4 linked regions of the Mus musculus genome follow. The protein of the gene in region 2 interacts with the protein of the main gene of each other region in a biochemical or structural test. Links are inferred from orthologs where the notes say so. Each region holds a gene or a part of one and is shown on either strand. Other genes may lie near its edges.

Region 1 (4,153 bases), on a different chromosome or scaffold from region 2:
CATCCCTCCAGAGTCTCACAACCGAGGCAAGCTTAGAGAACAAGAGGGAAAAAGGCTTTCTCCATCTCGTGTCTGAATGGGAGAGGCAATTGTGAATTTAGCATCAGAGAGACACAACCAACGCTGGGGCCTGGGAGGACCGATCCCTGGCCTCTGCTTTTGGCTCCTTGCTTTTATCTCAACTGTAACTTCCGAATTGAGGCTGGAGGCTGGGAAGGCCCTGGGGCAGACCATGGCTCTTGCCTTTGCTGTTCAGGCTCAGGGGTGACAGGGTGGCTGGGGGCTATGGGGGAGATGACAGGGAAAGATTGGATGTGACTGAGCTGCGAGTTTTCACATCTTTATTATTATTATCATCATCATCATAATCATTATTAATAATATTAATATTATTACCGAAGTATTTCACGTCCGGAGCTAAGACAAGACTACAAACACAACACATAGAAAATTAATAAAATAGAACTTTGTTTTCTTCTGAGGCTCCTCTTCTTCCTTCTAGGTAGTATGTGCTCCTTCCAGTGGCTTTGGGGAGGGGGTAGGAGAGACAAGTCTGGGGTCAGGGAGTCTTTCAGGTCCCTGCTGAGGGGACAGCGAATCTACCATTGAACCGTGCACGGGGGACATGGACGAAATGAGACTCGACAAGGACATGAGCATTCTGCTCTGCTTCCAGGAGACATCAAGTGAGTCCGATTCTCAGTTCTCACCAGAGAGCCTGATGAGGCCAAGGTGGGTTCTTCGGGGGAGGGAGGAGGCGCTGGGGGTGCTGGGTGGGCATCCGCCAAGCGCCCAGGAAGAGCTCTGCAGAAGGGGGCATCCAGGCAAGCACTGGGCCCTGCCCGTCGTGCTCTGGACAGCAAGTCCCCAGACTCCCCCGACCGCAGAGCCTTCTGGGGCTTTCGGGTGCCCTAGGTTCCCCCACAGACCTCTCCCTTCGCGTCCCCCCTCCCTTTGCAGCACCTTCACTCGGCTGGCTTTTCCTCCTCCTCCTCCGCACTGAGCTGAGACGCACTGAGCAGTTTGCTCTCCTTTTTCCACTTCATGCGCCGGTTCTGAAACCAAATCTTGATCTGCCGCTCGGTCAGGCACAGGGCGTGCGCGATCTCTATGCGCCGCCGGCGGGTCAGGTAGCGATTATAGTGAAATTCCTTCTCCAGCTCCAGGGTCTGGTAGCGTGTGTAGGTCTGGCGGCCTCGCCGACCGCTGGGCCCAAAAGAGGAACCTGTTACGCAGAGAGGAGAAACTGAGGCCTGGGGTCATCACACCAAGCCCATAGCCCCTCCCCCACTCGGCCCTCAAACGTAAAGCTAGCCTGTCGGGAGTAGTCTTTCCCCCTCCCATTCCCTGGTCCCCGTTTCCTACTCCTCCAGCGCCCCCTCCAGATTCCCTCCTGGACTCCGAGGCCTGTGCTTTCTTTCTGCCTAGACTTTCAGTGGGGGGAGAGGAGGGGCACTTGGACTCTCACCTGAGCTTGGGGGAGGGGCTGGCCAGGTGTGCCTCCTACGAGCTGTATCTTTTCTTTCCCTTCCTTTCCATCCATCCAGCCCTCCCTACCCTACTCGATGATAGATTCTGGCCCTTAATCCCTAATGACGTGGATCGATTCATAGTCCGCATTAACAGCCCCTCACTTTCGTGTCCTGCTAATGGACATCAATTGGGACTTGAAGCCCACAAATAATCCAACCTGAGACCCAGGAGCCAGTTTGTTCTTCTCACTCCCTCCGCCTGTCCTCTCTTCTTCCTTCCTCAGACTATACGACCCTATGGTAGTGTCTCACAGCTCCCTGGTCCCCCTTCCCCAGTTCTCCTCCCCCAGCCCCAGGGAAACACAATCCAGGACCCAAGTAAACTCGCCCTTGCCGGCGTCATGCCACCCCTCCCCTTTCATGACGCACTCTTGTTTTTAATGGAGTGGTCTTTGGGTGCGGGGCACCCCCCACCCCTCAGATCCGGACAAGAGCTAGGGAGAACATAAAGGAATACAGGACCAGAGACTGAGTCCCCTAACCTCTTCCGGATCAACAATCCTAGCCTGACTTAAGTAGGGAGAGCCCACTTATTCCCCCTGCCTTACTGTGCAGCTGGGACTTTGCAAACTTTGCAACTTCTGCGGGCAAGAGGACTGATCTGGAGGTCGGGGGGGGGGGCAATCTTGCTCTATCTGCTGAGATGCCCACCTAGTTCCCAATGGGAGAATTGGGGTTGGGGGATGCTGACACTTTCAGTCTTTCTGCTTGCCGACCCCCCCCCACACACACACACACACAGACACGGGACAGCGGGAAGTCTCACTCACTGTTGCACGAATTCATGCGCTGCATCCACGGGTAGACGGGCGTGGAGCACTTCTGCTCCTCGGTCTCTCCGAACACGCTCTTGTCCTGTGCGCAGTCGGACTTGCGCGGCTCGGGGTGGAACGGGGGCGGCTCGTCGGCGCCGGAGAGAGCGCAGGCCGCGTCCTTCTCCCGGTAGAAGGCAGGCGCCGGCCCATAATCACAGGGCGCCGCCCGGCCGTAGCCGCCGCCGGCTGGTGGGTAATAGGAGGACGCCGCAAAGCCCTTGTCCTGGCCGGGTCCCGGCCCATAAGGCGCGGGGTAGTGCCGCAGCGGGTCCGCATAGCCAGACGAGTAGAGCGGCAGCTGGCCCAGGAAGGACTCCTGCCCGCTGGCCAGAGTGACGGGGAAGGTGGAGTTCACGAAATAGGAACTCATCGGGAGGGGAGGCGCGCGAGGCCGCTGCTGCTCCGCCGGGTTTATGATTTGTTGTGTTTTATAGTCCGAGCGCCGCGCCTATTAGTAGTATAGCCGAGATTGGGTTTTAGCTGAGGGGGGATGGCGAGGTGCCAGTGAGGGCCAGAAGGAAATACAACCATCTGATCCAACACTGACCAATGGCAGAGGCAGGAATTGTCAAATAGCACCCAGGAGGAGCGCAGCCTGCACGAGGGACCCGCGCACAAACCTATCAACCTTTTCCCCCTCCTTCCTCTCTCTCTCTCTCTCTCTCTCTCTCTCTCTCTCTCTCTCTCTCTCTCTCTCTCTCTCCACAACGCGCCCTGATCCACCTACGTATGATCTGCGAAAGAGACGTCTGTGCTTTTGAGGGAGGAGGAAGCAGTTAGATGAAGATCATCCCATTCCCCAGTGATGAAATAAATACAACCTCCCCCCCCACCCCACCCCACGCAGGAATAGGGAAAAGTTAATTGTGTTTTCAGAAAAGTTAACCCCTGCGTTGCATGGGCCCGTTCCCTCAAGGGAGGGCTGGGTAAATATCCTCGAATCTCGTTGAGAGAGAATAAAGGGGGAAGGTCTGTTTCTAGGGTTTTGTACTGGTGTGGTGGTGGTGGGGGGTGGAACGAGAACGGACTTGTCCGCTTATTTGCTTCATTTTAGAAACAAGAAAAGAAGAAACACCCTCCTTTGAAGGTTTGGAAAATCGTTTATTGTTTATCAGGCCTGTTTCCCCCTTTTAAGTTTAGGTTTTATTGTATCCCGACTTCAACCCAATTCCCCAGCTTAGAGGAGGGCAAGCCAGTTCCTTCTGCCTAGAAGACCCAAAAGAAGGAAATGTCAGGGGTGTGTGAGCCCAGTTTCTCCCTCTGGCTGCTCCCCGAAGCTATTTGCTATTGCTATTTGGCAAGCCGACCATCCGTATGCCCAGCACAGCTCAGCCGTCCTGGCTGCAGTCTTGACTGAGACTGGGCCCTGGAGAAAGAAACTAGTAGTCCTTAAACTTGGTGATGAAGGGGAAACCCCAGCCTAGGTAACTTTACTTGTTTTCATCTCTATTCTTCCTGCAACCCTTGCTTGGTCTCTCCTCATCTATCCTTATCTCTCAGGCCAAATGATGTAGCAAGAATCCCTGGCTACAGATTTTTAGAACCAAAGATGTTCCCTGTAAATCTAGATACTGGGGGGAATTGTCTTAGAAATGTTGAGTCTTCAGTATTGGAGACCGAGAGTCTCCTCTTTTTCCTACTCTCTTTATAAACTGGTGGTTCCCTTTGAAATTCGCATCCCAAGACTTGGTTTGGATTTGATTTTATAAGGAGAGAAGGCTGCTAGGTCCTCCTAGGGACTTAGTAACCACCTTCCAACCATCAAACTGGCATGCTTGCTCTAGTTCTAGACACTCACAACACTCC
Region 2 (4,242 bases):
TAAGGAGTACCCTTAGGAGATCGAAGCCCTTGGTCTTGGTACCTGGGCCCATCTCAGATCCAGGAGGTAGAGCTGACAGCCTCTCCCTTCAGGTGACAGCGTTGGACATTGGACCTGGCCCTATCGTTTTTGGGCTTGGGAGTGGGCGCTCAAGAGCCTTGCGGTGCCCTTGCAAACTTGGGAAGCACAAGGAAGGGGTGGACTCTCGGCCTGTCATTTTCTCCCTCAGTGATCTTAGAGAAAGTTGCTTTGCCCCTTCCTGCCTCAGTTTCCCCATCTGCACACAGACCCGAGGACCCTCTGTAACCTGCAGGCGCCACTTCGCCATTACTAGCATAGGGCGCGGGGAAGAGGCGCAGGTTGCGGTGGCGTCTTCTTAGTCCGATGTCACCCTGGAGGCTCGCAAGCAAGGAGCTGCGAAGAGCCAGAGCTGCCGGGGCGGGGCGGGACCGGACGGGCTGGGCCCGGATCAGCGCTGACTCCGAGCCTGGCGGGGGGGGGGGTCTAGGCTCGAGCCCAGGGCGCCCTCCCCGCGCGTGCCGCGTTACTGACAGCGTCAGAACAAAAGTGGCCGTCTGCTCTGCGCACTTGGCGTCCCGCAGGCCGGGCCTAGCACCGCAGCCCGTCGCCTCACGCATCGCCGCCGTGCCTTCGACCCTTCCACCCGAGCGCGCTCGGCTCTTTCCGCCGCGGCCGGCGCAGGTGGAGGGGCGGGGCGGGGGCCGTGCGTGGTGACGCCGCGGGGGGGGTGACGTACAAGCGTGCCCCGCCCCCTCCCCCTCCCCGTTCAGGCTCTGGAAAGAGAAGAAAAAAAACTTTCTTTTTTTTTTTAATTGAGGAATCAACAGCCGCCATCTTGTCGCGGATCCGACCGGGGCTTCGAGCGCGATCTACTCGGCCCCGCCGGTCCCGGGCCCCACAACCGCCCGCGCACCCCGCTCCGCCTGGCCGGCCCGCTCCGCCCGGCCCTCGGCGCCCGCCCCGGCGGCCCCGCTCGCCTCTCGTCTCGGCCTCCCGGAGCCCGGCGGCGGCGGCGGCGGCGGCGGCGGCACGGGGTGGGGGGGCCGCGGCGCGGCGGCGGCCCCGCTCGGCGCATTGTTTTTCCTCACGGCGGCGGCGGGCCGCGGGCGGGCGGCGGAGCCCAAAGCCCCCCGGTCGTCCGGCCGCGGGCGAATTCATTAAGTGGGGCGCGCGGGGGGGGGGGGTGGCGGCGAGGCGGCGGCGGTACCACCATGTTCCCGGGCGCCGCCTGAGCCGCGGGGCCGGGCGCCGTCGCTGCCAGCCGGGCCCGCGGAGGCGGCCGGGCCGCTTGGGTGCCCGGGCCGCGGAGTGTCGCGCTCGGGAGGCGGGCAGGGGATGAGGGGGCCGCGGCCGGCGGCGGCGGCGGCCGGGGGCGGGCGGTGAGCGCTGCGGGGCGCTGTTGCTGAGGCTGAGATTTGGCCGCCGCCTCCCCCACCCGGCCTGCGCCCTCCGCGGCCCGGCCCGCGCTCCTGCGCTCGCTCCTCGCTGGCTCGCCTGCTCGCAGCCGCCGGCCCGACCCCCGTCCGGGCCGCGTCGCGCCGCCCGCGCTCAGGGCTGTTTCCGCGAGCAGGTGAAGATGGCCGAGAACTTGCTGGACGGACCGCCCAACCCCAAACGAGCCAAACTCAGCTCGCCCGGCTTCTCCGCGAATGACAACACAGGTGAGGCTGGGTCTAGGCTCGCTGTCAGAGTTCGGGGCAGGGAGGGGGTTGAGGGTCGCAGTGGCCAGAGACTCTGTCCCGGGCCTTGGGATGCGCTTCCCTGGTCGGGAGGAAAAGTGAAGCGGGGGCGCGGTCTAGTGTCCGCACGCGTGGCCGGCCGGGATGACAGCGGAGGGGACCTTGGAGGTTTGGAGTAAGAGAATGCGACCAGAGGCAATGAGGGCTTTCAGGATCGGACCCCCCACTCTAGGCGGTGCAGTCGCGGACACAGCTGCTGCCTTCTTAGTTGCGACGAGTTGCGACGGAGAAGTTTCTTGGAATGTGTTGCTTGGGAAAACGCTTAGTGGTTATTTAGAAAGTCTTGATTTTTTTTTTTTTTTGATCACCTAGTATTTTTTTTTCTCCAAAACCCCAAACCTCATGTGCGAGTTGTCATCAAAGTTGCTGTGGTGTCTTTCATTTACATACGTAACCTTAAAAAGAAGCTAGCAGGCTTTTAAAAGTCCATTTGGGCTCCAGTCTGCCTTTGAGGTTGGAATGGTTTTACACTGGAGATGAAAAATTAAAAAATTAAGGACTTTGAATCTTTCAGGGAAAGAGAAAAGCAAGATAATCTTAAATCTTTTCCCCAACTCACAAAATAGCTTCCGTGCAAACTTTCTTAGGTGATCGGATCGGGTACCCAAGACTTCCCTGTTCATTCAGTAATTCAGAGTACTTCTGGACAGCTCTGATAACCTTGCCAATTATTCGTATTTCCCCTTTTAAGCTCTCCTTCGAAATATAAACTCGTATGCTGCTGTGAACAATGCCGGCTCAGCGCAGCTAGCACTTTTCCAGTACGTACTTGTAGCGGCATCTGAAAATCAGTTTCTGATGAATGGGTCCAAATCAAATTACATTGCTGCCTGCAGATTGGCGCTAGATACAGATGTTCAAGTTGTGGAACTCTGTGACTTTATACAAGTGTATTTAAAAATATTTCTGCTTTTGAAACAAAACTTAGATTTCACGGCTTCAGTTTGAAGTGCTCCTGAAATCCAGTCATGAAAGGAGAATGTTAATGTAGAAATGAGAGGGGAGTATTCTCCCTCCATCATTTTTCAGGAGATTTTTGTTGACTTAAAATTTGTTGAGTGGTAGAAAGGAGTAAATAAATAATTCACAGGTAGGTAGGGAAAAGTCACTTTTCTTTTTAAATGACAAGTTGTTTGATGTTTATTTTCATAAAAATCTTATTGATGAAAAATGTTGAAACAGTGGTTTAAGCACACTTGTGCAAAGTAGAGCTAGCTCCCTTGCTTTAGTAATGTTGCTGTGCTCGAGCCAGAAGACTGTAATCATGTGAGATGTAGATCATACCAGGCAGGTGTTGTCCTCAAGTTTATCCTCTGACACTGCTAACTGGAAGACTTCAGCTTTGCTGTTACTGAGTGAACTTGAAGATTTTTCTTAGAAGTGGGGCAAATTAATAAGACCACAAAAAGACCTGTAGTATCTTATATATCCAGAGGTTTACAAGATGGAACCCAAAAGAAGATGGCTTTTCCCCTCCCTCCTCCTCCTTTTCTTCTTCTTCTTCCTCCTTTTCTCCCTCCTCCTCCTCTTCTTCCTCCTCCTCTTCTTTCCTCTTCCTCTTCCTCCTCCTCCTTTTTCCTTTTTTTTTTTTTTTTTTTGTGTGTGTGTGTAGCTTCTCTGGATTGTCAGATATTTACTTACTGTGTTGCTGACCAGAGCAGACTTATCCAAAAGAATCTTCTGCACGTGAGCACTTTGTCCCTTTCTCTTTCCACTTTTTGCCCAGGAGACGCAGAAGAGTACTTTCACATTTACAGATATGTGAAACAAGGGGTAGTAGTTTCTAATGATTCTGATTTAGATGATCAAAGAATAAGACGGCATTCATATTGAAAGGGTGTAAGGGTCCACTCAGAAGAAGGAGCCATTTTTGAATACATTAAACAAGATGAAACCTTGTTAAGAGTAACTATTAGTCTACGATCCAGTAACAAGATAGACAGATCTTAAAAATTAAACAAATAAATGGCTGAAGTATTTATGTTAAGTATATTTAAAGCAGTGAAGGCTGGGATAGAGACAGAAGGAAAAATTGAACTTTGTTTTCTTTTTTTTGGTTCCCCCCCCCCCCCCCCCCCACACACACACACACAAGGTTTCTTTGTCCCTGGCTGTCCTGGAACTCACTCTGTAGACCAGGCTGGCCTCAAACTCAGAAATCCCCCTGCCTCTGCCTCCTAGGTACTGGATTAAAGTCGTGTGCACCACTGCCCAGCCTGAACTTTGTTTTCTTGAGGGGTCTTATCTCAGGCCTCCAAGAGAACATTGGGCTGGGGTAGGTGAGGTGTGTGTTCTGAGCACAAGATGAAATTTGAGGGAGGGGATGCAAGGAGAGTGAACAGAGAGCCCTAGACAGTGAGAAACAGTTGCTACTTGAACTAGTGATACAAGCCACATCTTTGGGGACTGAGTTGTGAATCCATCAAGTGCATTTTAGCTGTGTTTCTAGGGATAGCAGTGGGTGGAGAAGAGAGTGAGAGGG
Region 3 (4,064 bases), on a different chromosome or scaffold from region 2:
CTAGCTCACTGGTTAAAAAAAAAAAAAAGGTGACCCTTTTCTTGAAGAGCATGGCTTGAGCAGCCTCTTGTGCCAGTTCCTTTAGCAAGACTTCCTTGACTCTGTGCAGATCCAATCACCCCTGGCTCTTAGTAACGGAGCACAGTTGTGTCTTCTAGCTCTGTGATTTCCTCCCTTCTTTTTCTCTAATTCTGGGTCTAGTGAAGTAAATGTGGTGTGTGTGTGTAGGGGTGAGGTGGGGTGGGGGTCTCTGTGTGCGCATGTGCGAACACGCGCACTCGCGAGTGTGAGCACATGCACACGGCGGCTGCAGCGGGTCAAGCTCAGAGACATATTTTGTGAAAGGAATTCACTACTGAGCTACACTTCCACCTATGACCCCTCTCCAGGAGGCCTCGGTACAAGCAAGTGGCAGAGGTCAGTTTCCAGGTGCGCAGGTGCGCGCGCGCGCGCGCGCACATGTATGTGTGCAGATAAACTGTTCACAAAGTCACCTAACTTAAGCTTTCTTGTTCAAGTGAGTGCCGCCCCCTGGTGGGGTGGGAGTGACCCTGGCACAACACCAGGGAAGTATTAAGCTTCCTGCGTGGGGAGGGGGGACACTCTGGGAGCTTGTGGCCCCCTTTTGACTAGGTTTGGCAATGAAAGCAAACCACGCTTTCCTCAGAGAAGCAGGGTCTGTAGCAAAGCTTGTCCTCAAGTCCTCATCTTGAGGGTAGACTCATTACCTAACCTCCCTGGGCCTTCATTTCCTCAGATGCAAAATGTGGACTCCGAACTGCCAAGGCGGACTAACTAAATGAAAAAAAAATTCTTAGATTTCACCGGTTATGGATTTAGCTTAGTGGCAACCATGCGGCCCTGGGTTCAGTTCCTAGAATCAAAAGGGGAGGAAAAAAAAAAAGACTTCATAAACTCTAAAGGCCGTGTTACGTGTAAGTCATAAGAAGGGACTACTCCCAGTGTAACAAGCACTCGTGGTCATTCTACCCTGGAAAATCAACTTAAGGGAAAAGAAAAACAGCTGTGCAGGCTGCGTCCAAGGAGGGAAGCTCTTTGTGAGCTTCAGATTGTGGCATGGCAGTCTACCCAGAAATAGCGCCAAGGGTCTCGGTCAGCTGTCCCATCTTCTGTTCAGTCTGGCCCCTCCGCACATTGTAGATCTGCTCCCTCACTCTAACGTCTACGTGAAGGTCCATTCTGTCCGCTGTACTTGGTACACTAACACAAACCACCTACAGAGAGAGATACAAGGCATGGATACGGGCTGAACCCTCCTTAGTTTTGTGATTAGAGTCCGTATTTCTCTGGCGAAGTTTTCAGAGTTACCGTTTGAGATCTTCCCAGTTTCTTCAAGAAAGACCAAGGACCAACTTGGACTCGAAAGTCAAAGCTATATGATACCTCCTTTCTCCATGAGTAGTATTCCTGAACAAAGACTTTCCCCGTGAGTTTGGAGAGCGCCTTACAAGGAAGGATTTTCGTCAGGAGAAGGTAAACTGAGGCAGATAGCAGCTTGCGGGCCTCTTTCCTTAGTGCACAAGGTCGCTACCTTTCCCCATGGATACCAACCACTTTGCCCCCCTTCACCGCCCACTCCCTCTTGGGCAGAGCAATCGTAGAACAGTTCTGTTCACTGAGGTATTGGGAGGCGAGCAGGGAATCCGAGTAATCCCGCAGGAATGGGCCAAAAGGTGTTGGGTGGGAGGGGAGGGAGGAGGGAAGGCTAGGTGCCGGTGGAGAATCCACACAGTTCCTGCTGTACATAGGATAAAGACTTCTCTGTGGGAATAAATGTTTGGAGCAGCTCAAGCCAAAGTGCTGAGTAGCGAGTAGAGAATTCGATTTTCCTCAGAGCAGGGACAGTGTCTTATTCATCTCCGATCCTCCTGCTTCAAGCTGCTCAGAGTGTGGTATATACTATGTACTAAGTAAATGCCTGTCTAACTGAAGATTAAAGGTGGATCTTTGGGCTTTCCAAAGGGGTGGAAAGGCGGTAATGGGGGGCCCCGGAGTGAGAGTAACTAGAGGGGTCCAAGGGTGGATGGCGTGAAGGTAAGGGAGTCATACTTACCTTCCATCCTGCCGAGCTGTTGCTGTCACCCTTGTCCTTGAAGTAGGGCACCGTGCGGACCATCCATTCGTAGATCTGGGCGAGTGTCAGCCGCTTCTCCGGGGCGCTTTCAATGGCCTGGCTGATGAGTTCTGCATATGACTGATTTCCCCAGGCATTCCGGCGGGAGCCTCCCTTCCGAGGACCTGTTACAGCCCCCAGGATTCCCGGCTGGGGGCCCCCTGCCGGCTCTGGGAGCCGAGAGGGCAACAGGATCGGTTCGGAGTGTCCCTCCGTGGGTACCTTCTGTCCCAGACTGGGCTCCACCTCGGACGGTTCGTGTGGCTCCGTAGCGAGGTCTGGTCGAGGAAGGGGCCAGGTGCAGGATCGCGGACGGCTCTGGGGTTCGAAGTCGGGATCGAGGTCTAGGATCGCGGCAGCCCCTGTGGCTGACTTCTTATTCTCTGGATCCATACGTGGGGTCGAACCTCTGCAGCTCAGCGATCAGTGGAGCCTGCCACAGTCCCTCACCATGCCTCCCCCAAGGGGGGAAACACATTCTTTCCAGTTCTCAGAAAGTCACGAACTTCTCCCTCGTCTCCGGACTCTAGCTCCTAAACTGTCCCTTTCACTCCGTTCTCCGATCCCCTCCGGAGTCCGGGCTGCAGCCTCAGAGTAGCGCTCTGAGGCACCACCTGTAACCTCCGCCTAGCGAAGGCACTTTCTGCACCCTCTCACTCAGCTTCCTGCTCTTTTAAACCTGAGGCACCGTATCCCCTCATACATTGCGCTCCCATCACCGAACGTCTCCTCAGCGAAGTTCCCTCCCCCTTTCAAGTTGCTGCCCCCCGGACACTCCTCCCAAATTTCCTCCACCCGGATCGCTGCCCTCCCCCACGCCCCGCTCCCGGGCGTCACTTGTCCCTCCCCTGGCTCTCCCTCCCCTCGCCTCTTCCCTCCAGGTCACTCTTGAGAGGGTCAAGGTTCTTGCGGCCCCAGCCTCCCCAACTCCAGAACTGAATCCCCTATCGGACCCCCCCACCCCCCGCCCCCCGGGTTTCCCTTTTGTTTTGCTCCAAGCAGCAGCCCCCGCCAGACGTCTCTGTTTACCACTCGCTGGGGCAGCCATCTGCGCACGCGCCTCAGGAGCCACTTGGGAAACTGAGTTCTCGAATCGTGCCACCCTGGTCGTTCTCGAAGACTACATCTCCCGTCCTACCTTGCGATCAGGAGTCCGATATCGGCCGCAGGAGAGCGGCGCGTGGCAGGATGTGGGGAGGTGGAACTTTAATGATTAGAGGTCGTCCCGGACTCTTTTTCTTTTCTTAAAAATATTTTTCCTCATTCCTTCCCTTTTCACCCACTTCCTCGAGTTTCGGGGTCGCCCAAAAGATCGTTTTGAAAGACGCTAGATTTTCCCATCCTTCACTAAGAAAGCAAAGTGAAAATGTATTGCCCTTATAAGAAGCAGAAAGAGTATCAACAAGTAGGGATCTGATTAGAAAATAAGACACACTCACTTGGGGAGTTGAGAGGGAAGCTTGTGTAACAACAAACAGTGTTCATTGGTTATGGTGCACTCTCTCCATTTTCTATGTACATTTCACAGACAGTCTTGCTAGTTTCCTCTGTCAGCTATGCAGGCCTCTGAAATACTGATCTTCTCCTTGTTCTGATCTTCAATGGCTTCTCATTCAACATGTCTCCAACTGAACTTTTTTTTTTTTTAATCTCTTTCTGCACCTATACCTCCACCCTCTAGCTACCTTTAACCTCTGTTATTTTGTCTTTTTTCTGGAGCTGAGGACCGACTCCAGGGCCTTAGCCCTTGTTAGGCAAGTGCTATACCACTGAGCTAAATCCCCGATCCCTACTCTTAAGCTCTGAATTTGGTTAGAGGCTGTTCTGGGTCTACCTAACCTTCTCAGCCACACTGATGGTCACCTTTCCACTTCTGTAACTTGCTACTTCCAAATTCTAAATGGAGACATTATGACTGGGTTTAAGTTCT
Region 4 (4,189 bases), on a different chromosome or scaffold from region 2:
AGACATAGCAAAAGTCCATAGCCAAGGAAGGCTTCTAGCCAGAGCCCCCCAAAAGCATGAACATCCCAGGGTTGGGGTGTGTTGGGATGTGTAGGAGAGCCAGAGATCCCACAAGGTGGCTCCTTCCTTTTGATCTTACCTCCCCAGTTAGCCTGCTGGAAGAGACCCAGCTGAAGTCTCCAGAAGAACAGAGCCAGAGCCCCCAGAGCCCTCTGCCAGATCTCAGTGCTGCAGGCAAAGCCAGAGAAGGTTGCTGGTTATGCTATGCAAGCGGGCAGGCAGGTGCTGGAAACAGAAGCAAGTCTCCCACCTCCACTGACATTTCCACATCCATCCCTGGTTTGGATTCTCACCCATCACCACAGTTACCCCCTGGACATTGTCATTGTTCCTGGATATGAAGTGGATACAGACTTGGGAAGAGGTCATCTCAACAAAGTTATGCCGACTCTACCAACTCTACAGTAGGTGAGGTTGTCAGGCCAGGTTCCAGCCATCACGATCCTTAAGAAAGGCATTTCCCAGGGTTCACTCAGAGCAAGATGGCACAAACCCATAGCAAACAGGTTTTCTTCTTCTCGGTAGAAACAGATCAACCTAGACCCCCATGGGTCTCTAGACACTCACAGAAAGTAAGTTGGAGGGAGCCTCCCTCTCTCTCCCTCCCTCTTTTCCTTGGACTGTCCACCCGGAGTTTGAGCAGAATGGCTTGAAGTTTTAATGATGATTCCCACTACGCATGCAAGGACAGCGCTGGGGTTCTAAGCTTCCCGTGGAAGAACAGATATTCTCTGAGCCATTCCCAGATGGAGAATGACCAAATAGCACTGCCACCGATTCATTTGTGCCAGGCTTGCTCACCTAGACCTTCTGAGTCTCACTGTCTCTTGCCCACTTTGTCCTTGGCTCAACTTCTCTGGGTGTGTCATCATTTCTCCACTCTTCTCTAGAACTTTCATTGTCCCGTAGCCTTGAGTCTCTCTCCAAACCTCCTGCAATCTGATTTCTAACTCCTATGCTTTGCCTGGTCTCCAGAGTGGAGTCCGAGGTCAGCTCCGAAGTGAGCACTGAGGTCAGTACAGGCTGGAGGAGTAGACACTGGAGAGGCTTGGGCAGGCTGCACCAGATAGCCAAGTGCTACCGCGTATGGCTGCCAGTCTCTCTGCCCTCCTTCCTAGCTAGGCAGCTGCCCCAGCACAGAGTCGCGGGAGGGGGCACTCCCTGGCCCCAGTGGCTACCCTGGGGACCCCAAGCTCCGCCCTACTACACTCCTATTGGCTTGAGGCGCCCCCGCCCCCAGCCTCCCTTTCCAGCTCCCGGGCTTTTAGGCTACCCTGGATAAATAGCCCAGGGCGCCTGGCGCGAAGCTAGGGGCCAGGACGCCCCAGGACACGACTGCTTTCTTCACCACTCCTCTGACAGGACAGGACAGGGAGGAGGGGTAGAGGACAGCCGGTGTGCATTCCAACCCACAGAACCTTTGTCATTGTACTGTTGGGGTTCCGGAGTGGCAGAAAGTTAAGACGACTCTCACGGCTTGGGTTGAGGCTGGACCCAGGAACTGGGATATGGAGCTTCTATCGCCGCCACTCCGGGACATAGACTTGACAGGCCCCGACGGCTCTCTCTGCTCCTTTGAGACAGCAGACGACTTCTATGATGACCCGTGTTTCGACTCACCAGACCTGCGCTTTTTTGAGGACCTGGACCCGCGCCTGGTGCACATGGGAGCCCTCCTGAAACCGGAGGAGCACGCACACTTCCCTACTGCGGTGCACCCAGGCCCAGGCGCTCGTGAGGATGAGCATGTGCGCGCGCCCAGCGGGCACCACCAGGCGGGTCGCTGCTTGCTGTGGGCCTGCAAGGCGTGCAAGCGCAAGACCACCAACGCTGATCGCCGCAAGGCCGCCACCATGCGCGAGCGCCGCCGCCTGAGCAAAGTGAATGAGGCCTTCGAGACGCTCAAGCGCTGCACGTCCAGCAACCCGAACCAGCGGCTACCCAAGGTGGAGATCCTGCGCAACGCCATCCGCTACATCGAAGGTCTGCAGGCTCTGCTGCGCGACCAGGACGCCGCGCCCCCTGGCGCCGCTGCCTTCTACGCACCTGGACCGCTGCCCCCAGGCCGTGGCAGCGAGCACTACAGTGGCGACTCAGATGCATCCAGCCCGCGCTCCAACTGCTCTGATGGCATGGTAAGGCGGGGGGCTCAGGAGGATGAGCAATGGAGGCGGCGCCTGGGGTATCTGCAACAGGTTTCCGAGGCCCTTGGGGTGGGGGTGTCCCTTATACCTAGATGCTCCTGGCATCTGACACTGGAGTCGCTTTGGAGACCCAGGGCATCTATGATTCTGCCGATTGGGGGTGGAACACTGCTGCGCAGACCCCGGGATATGCTTTTCCTTCTCATTATTACCCTAATGCAGATTATTGTTCCTGAGTGACTGTCCACTCTCAGTTTGGCCCCGCATGCGACAGCTTCCAGTGTGTGGCTGGCTCCTACCACCTGGGGCTGACCCAGTCCTGGAACCAGCAGCTGAGACTAAGGGAGTGAGGGAGGGGTGATGACAAGGAGTGTTGCTTGAGACCCACTCGGGCCCTGTAGACCTAACTCTGTTATCCTTGCTATTCGCAGATGGATTACAGCGGCCCCCCAAGCGGCCCCCGGCGGCAGAATGGCTACGACACCGCCTACTACAGTGAGGCGGCGCGCGGTGCGTATTCTCAGCTGTTCCCAGCTAGCAGGCCTTTATCGGCCTTCTGTATCCCCCTTGAAACTTTCCTCGCTCCCTAGGCTTAGTATCCTCTTCCTGCCTCCACCACATACATACCCGTACCTTGGGATGGCGGGGGGGGGGGAGGCTGGGGGGGGAGCATTGGGGGAGGGGACAAAGAACTATGATGCACACCTTCCTCTCCTTTCTCCTTCCAGTCTAGCAAGTCCTCAGTTTCCCTTTTGCTACAAAGCTCCGTGCCTATGGGCAGGAGACTTGAGAAGGGCCGCAAGTTTGGATTACTAACCTTCCACTCCCCTCACAGAGTCCAGGCCAGGGAAGAGTGCGGCTGTGTCGAGCCTCGACTGCCTGTCCAGCATAGTGGAGCGCATCTCCACAGACAGCCCCGCTGCGCCTGCGCTGCTTTTGGCAGATGCACCACCAGAGTCGCCTCCGGGTCCGCCAGAGGGGGCATCCCTAAGCGACACAGAACAGGGAACCCAGACCCCGTCTCCCGACGCCGCCCCTCAGTGTCCTGCAGGCTCAAACCCCAATGCGATTTATCAGGTGCTTTGAGAGATCGACTGCAGCAGCAGAGGGCGCACCACCGTAGGCACTCCTGGGGATGGTGTCCCTGGTTCTTCACGCCCAAAAGATGAAGCTTAAATGACACTCTTCCCAACTGTCCTTTCGAAGCCGTTCTTCCAGAGGGAAGGGAAGAGCAGAAGTCTGTCCTAGATCCAGCCCCAAAGAAAGGACATAGTCCTTTTTGTTGTTGTTGTTGTAGTCCTTCAGTTGTTTGTTTGTTTTTTCATGCGGCTCACAGCGAAGGCCACTTGCACTCTGGCTGCACCTCACTGGGCCAGAGCTGATCCTTGAGTGGCCAGGCGCTCTTCCTTTCCTCATAGCACAGGGGTGAGCCTTGCACACCTAAGCCCTGCCCTCCACATCCTTTTGTTTGTCACTTTCTGGAGCCCTCCTGGCACCCACTTTTCCCCACAGCTTGCGGAGGCCACTCAGGTCTCAGGTGTAACAGGTGTAACCATACCCCACTCTCCCCCTTCCCGCGGTTCAGGACCACTTATTTTTTTATATAAGACTTTTGTAATCTATTCGTGTAAATAAGAGTTGCTTGGCCAGAGCGGGAGCCCCTTGGGCTATATTTATCTCCCAGGCATGCTGTGTAGTGCAACAAAAACTTTGTATGTTTATTCCTCAAGCGGGCGAGCCTCGAGGCTCGCTCGCTCAGGTGTTGGAAATAAAGACGCTAATTTATACAAAGTGGCTCTGGCTTTTCCTAAGGGGATCAGAAAGAAACTCTACGAACTGGGCGGGCTGTCTCGCAGCGACCCCTGTAGGTGGCAGAAGGGTAGCACGGAGGCTGGGTAGTGCTGGGTAATGAAGAAGGGCTGGCAGACCTCCAGCTGTAGGGAATTCCCCAGGCCTTGCCTGCCGCACCCAAGAAAACCAGTGGC

What was found. The genes of interacting proteins can lie anywhere in the genome.
Region 1: the proteins of Crebbp (region 2) and Hoxb6 form a complex in vitro, tested with the Homo sapiens proteins (2 studies listed by BioGRID). The link is inferred for Mus musculus from reciprocal best matches to the Homo sapiens genes CREBBP and HOXB6.
Region 3: the proteins of Crebbp (region 2) and Foxo4 form a complex in vitro, tested with the Homo sapiens proteins (2 studies listed by BioGRID). The link is inferred for Mus musculus from reciprocal best matches to the Homo sapiens genes CREBBP and FOXO4.
Region 4: the proteins of Crebbp (region 2) and Myod1 form a complex in vitro, tested with the Homo sapiens proteins (4 studies listed by BioGRID, with this or other methods). The link is inferred for Mus musculus from reciprocal best matches to the Homo sapiens genes CREBBP and MYOD1.

What each region holds. Positions count from the first base shown.
Region 1 is NC_000077.6:96,297,741-96,301,893, reverse strand, and holds Hoxb6 (homeobox protein Hox-B6), read right to left. Parts: upstream 2,821-4,153; 5' UTR 2,796-2,820; coding exon of another isoform or gene 2,718-2,795; coding exon 2,303-2,717; intron 1,226-2,302; coding exon 966-1,225; 3' UTR 325-965; downstream 1-324. UniProt on the Homo sapiens protein: Sequence-specific transcription factor which is part of a developmental regulatory system that provides cells with specific positional identities on the anterior-posterior axis.
Region 2 is NC_000082.6:4,210,579-4,214,820, reverse strand, and holds the start of Crebbp (histone lysine acetyltransferase CREBBP), read left to right. Parts: upstream 1-1,416; 5' UTR 1,417-1,597; coding exon 1,598-1,682; intron 1,683-4,242. UniProt on the Homo sapiens protein: Acetylates histones, giving a specific tag for transcriptional activation. Mediates acetylation of histone H3 at 'Lys-18' and 'Lys-27' (H3K18ac and H3K27ac, respectively).
Region 3 is NC_000086.7:101,253,284-101,257,347, reverse strand, and holds the start of Foxo4 (forkhead box protein O4), read right to left. Parts: upstream 2,821-4,064; 5' UTR 2,528-2,820; coding exon 2,075-2,527; intron 1,236-2,074; coding exon of another isoform or gene 1,086-1,235; exon of another isoform or gene 1-1,085. UniProt on the Homo sapiens protein: Transcription factor involved in the regulation of the insulin signaling pathway. Binds to insulin-response elements (IREs) and can activate transcription of IGFBP1.
Region 4 is NC_000073.6:46,375,105-46,379,293, forward strand, and holds Myod1 (myoblast determination protein 1), read left to right. Parts: upstream 1-1,369; 5' UTR 1,370-1,568; coding exon 1,569-2,195; intron 2,196-2,635; coding exon 2,636-2,714; intron 2,715-3,039; coding exon 3,040-3,290; 3' UTR 3,291-3,988; downstream 3,989-4,189. UniProt on the Homo sapiens protein: Acts as a transcriptional activator that promotes transcription of muscle-specific target genes and plays a role in muscle differentiation. Together with MYF5 and MYOG, co-occupies muscle-specific gene promoter core region during myogenesis.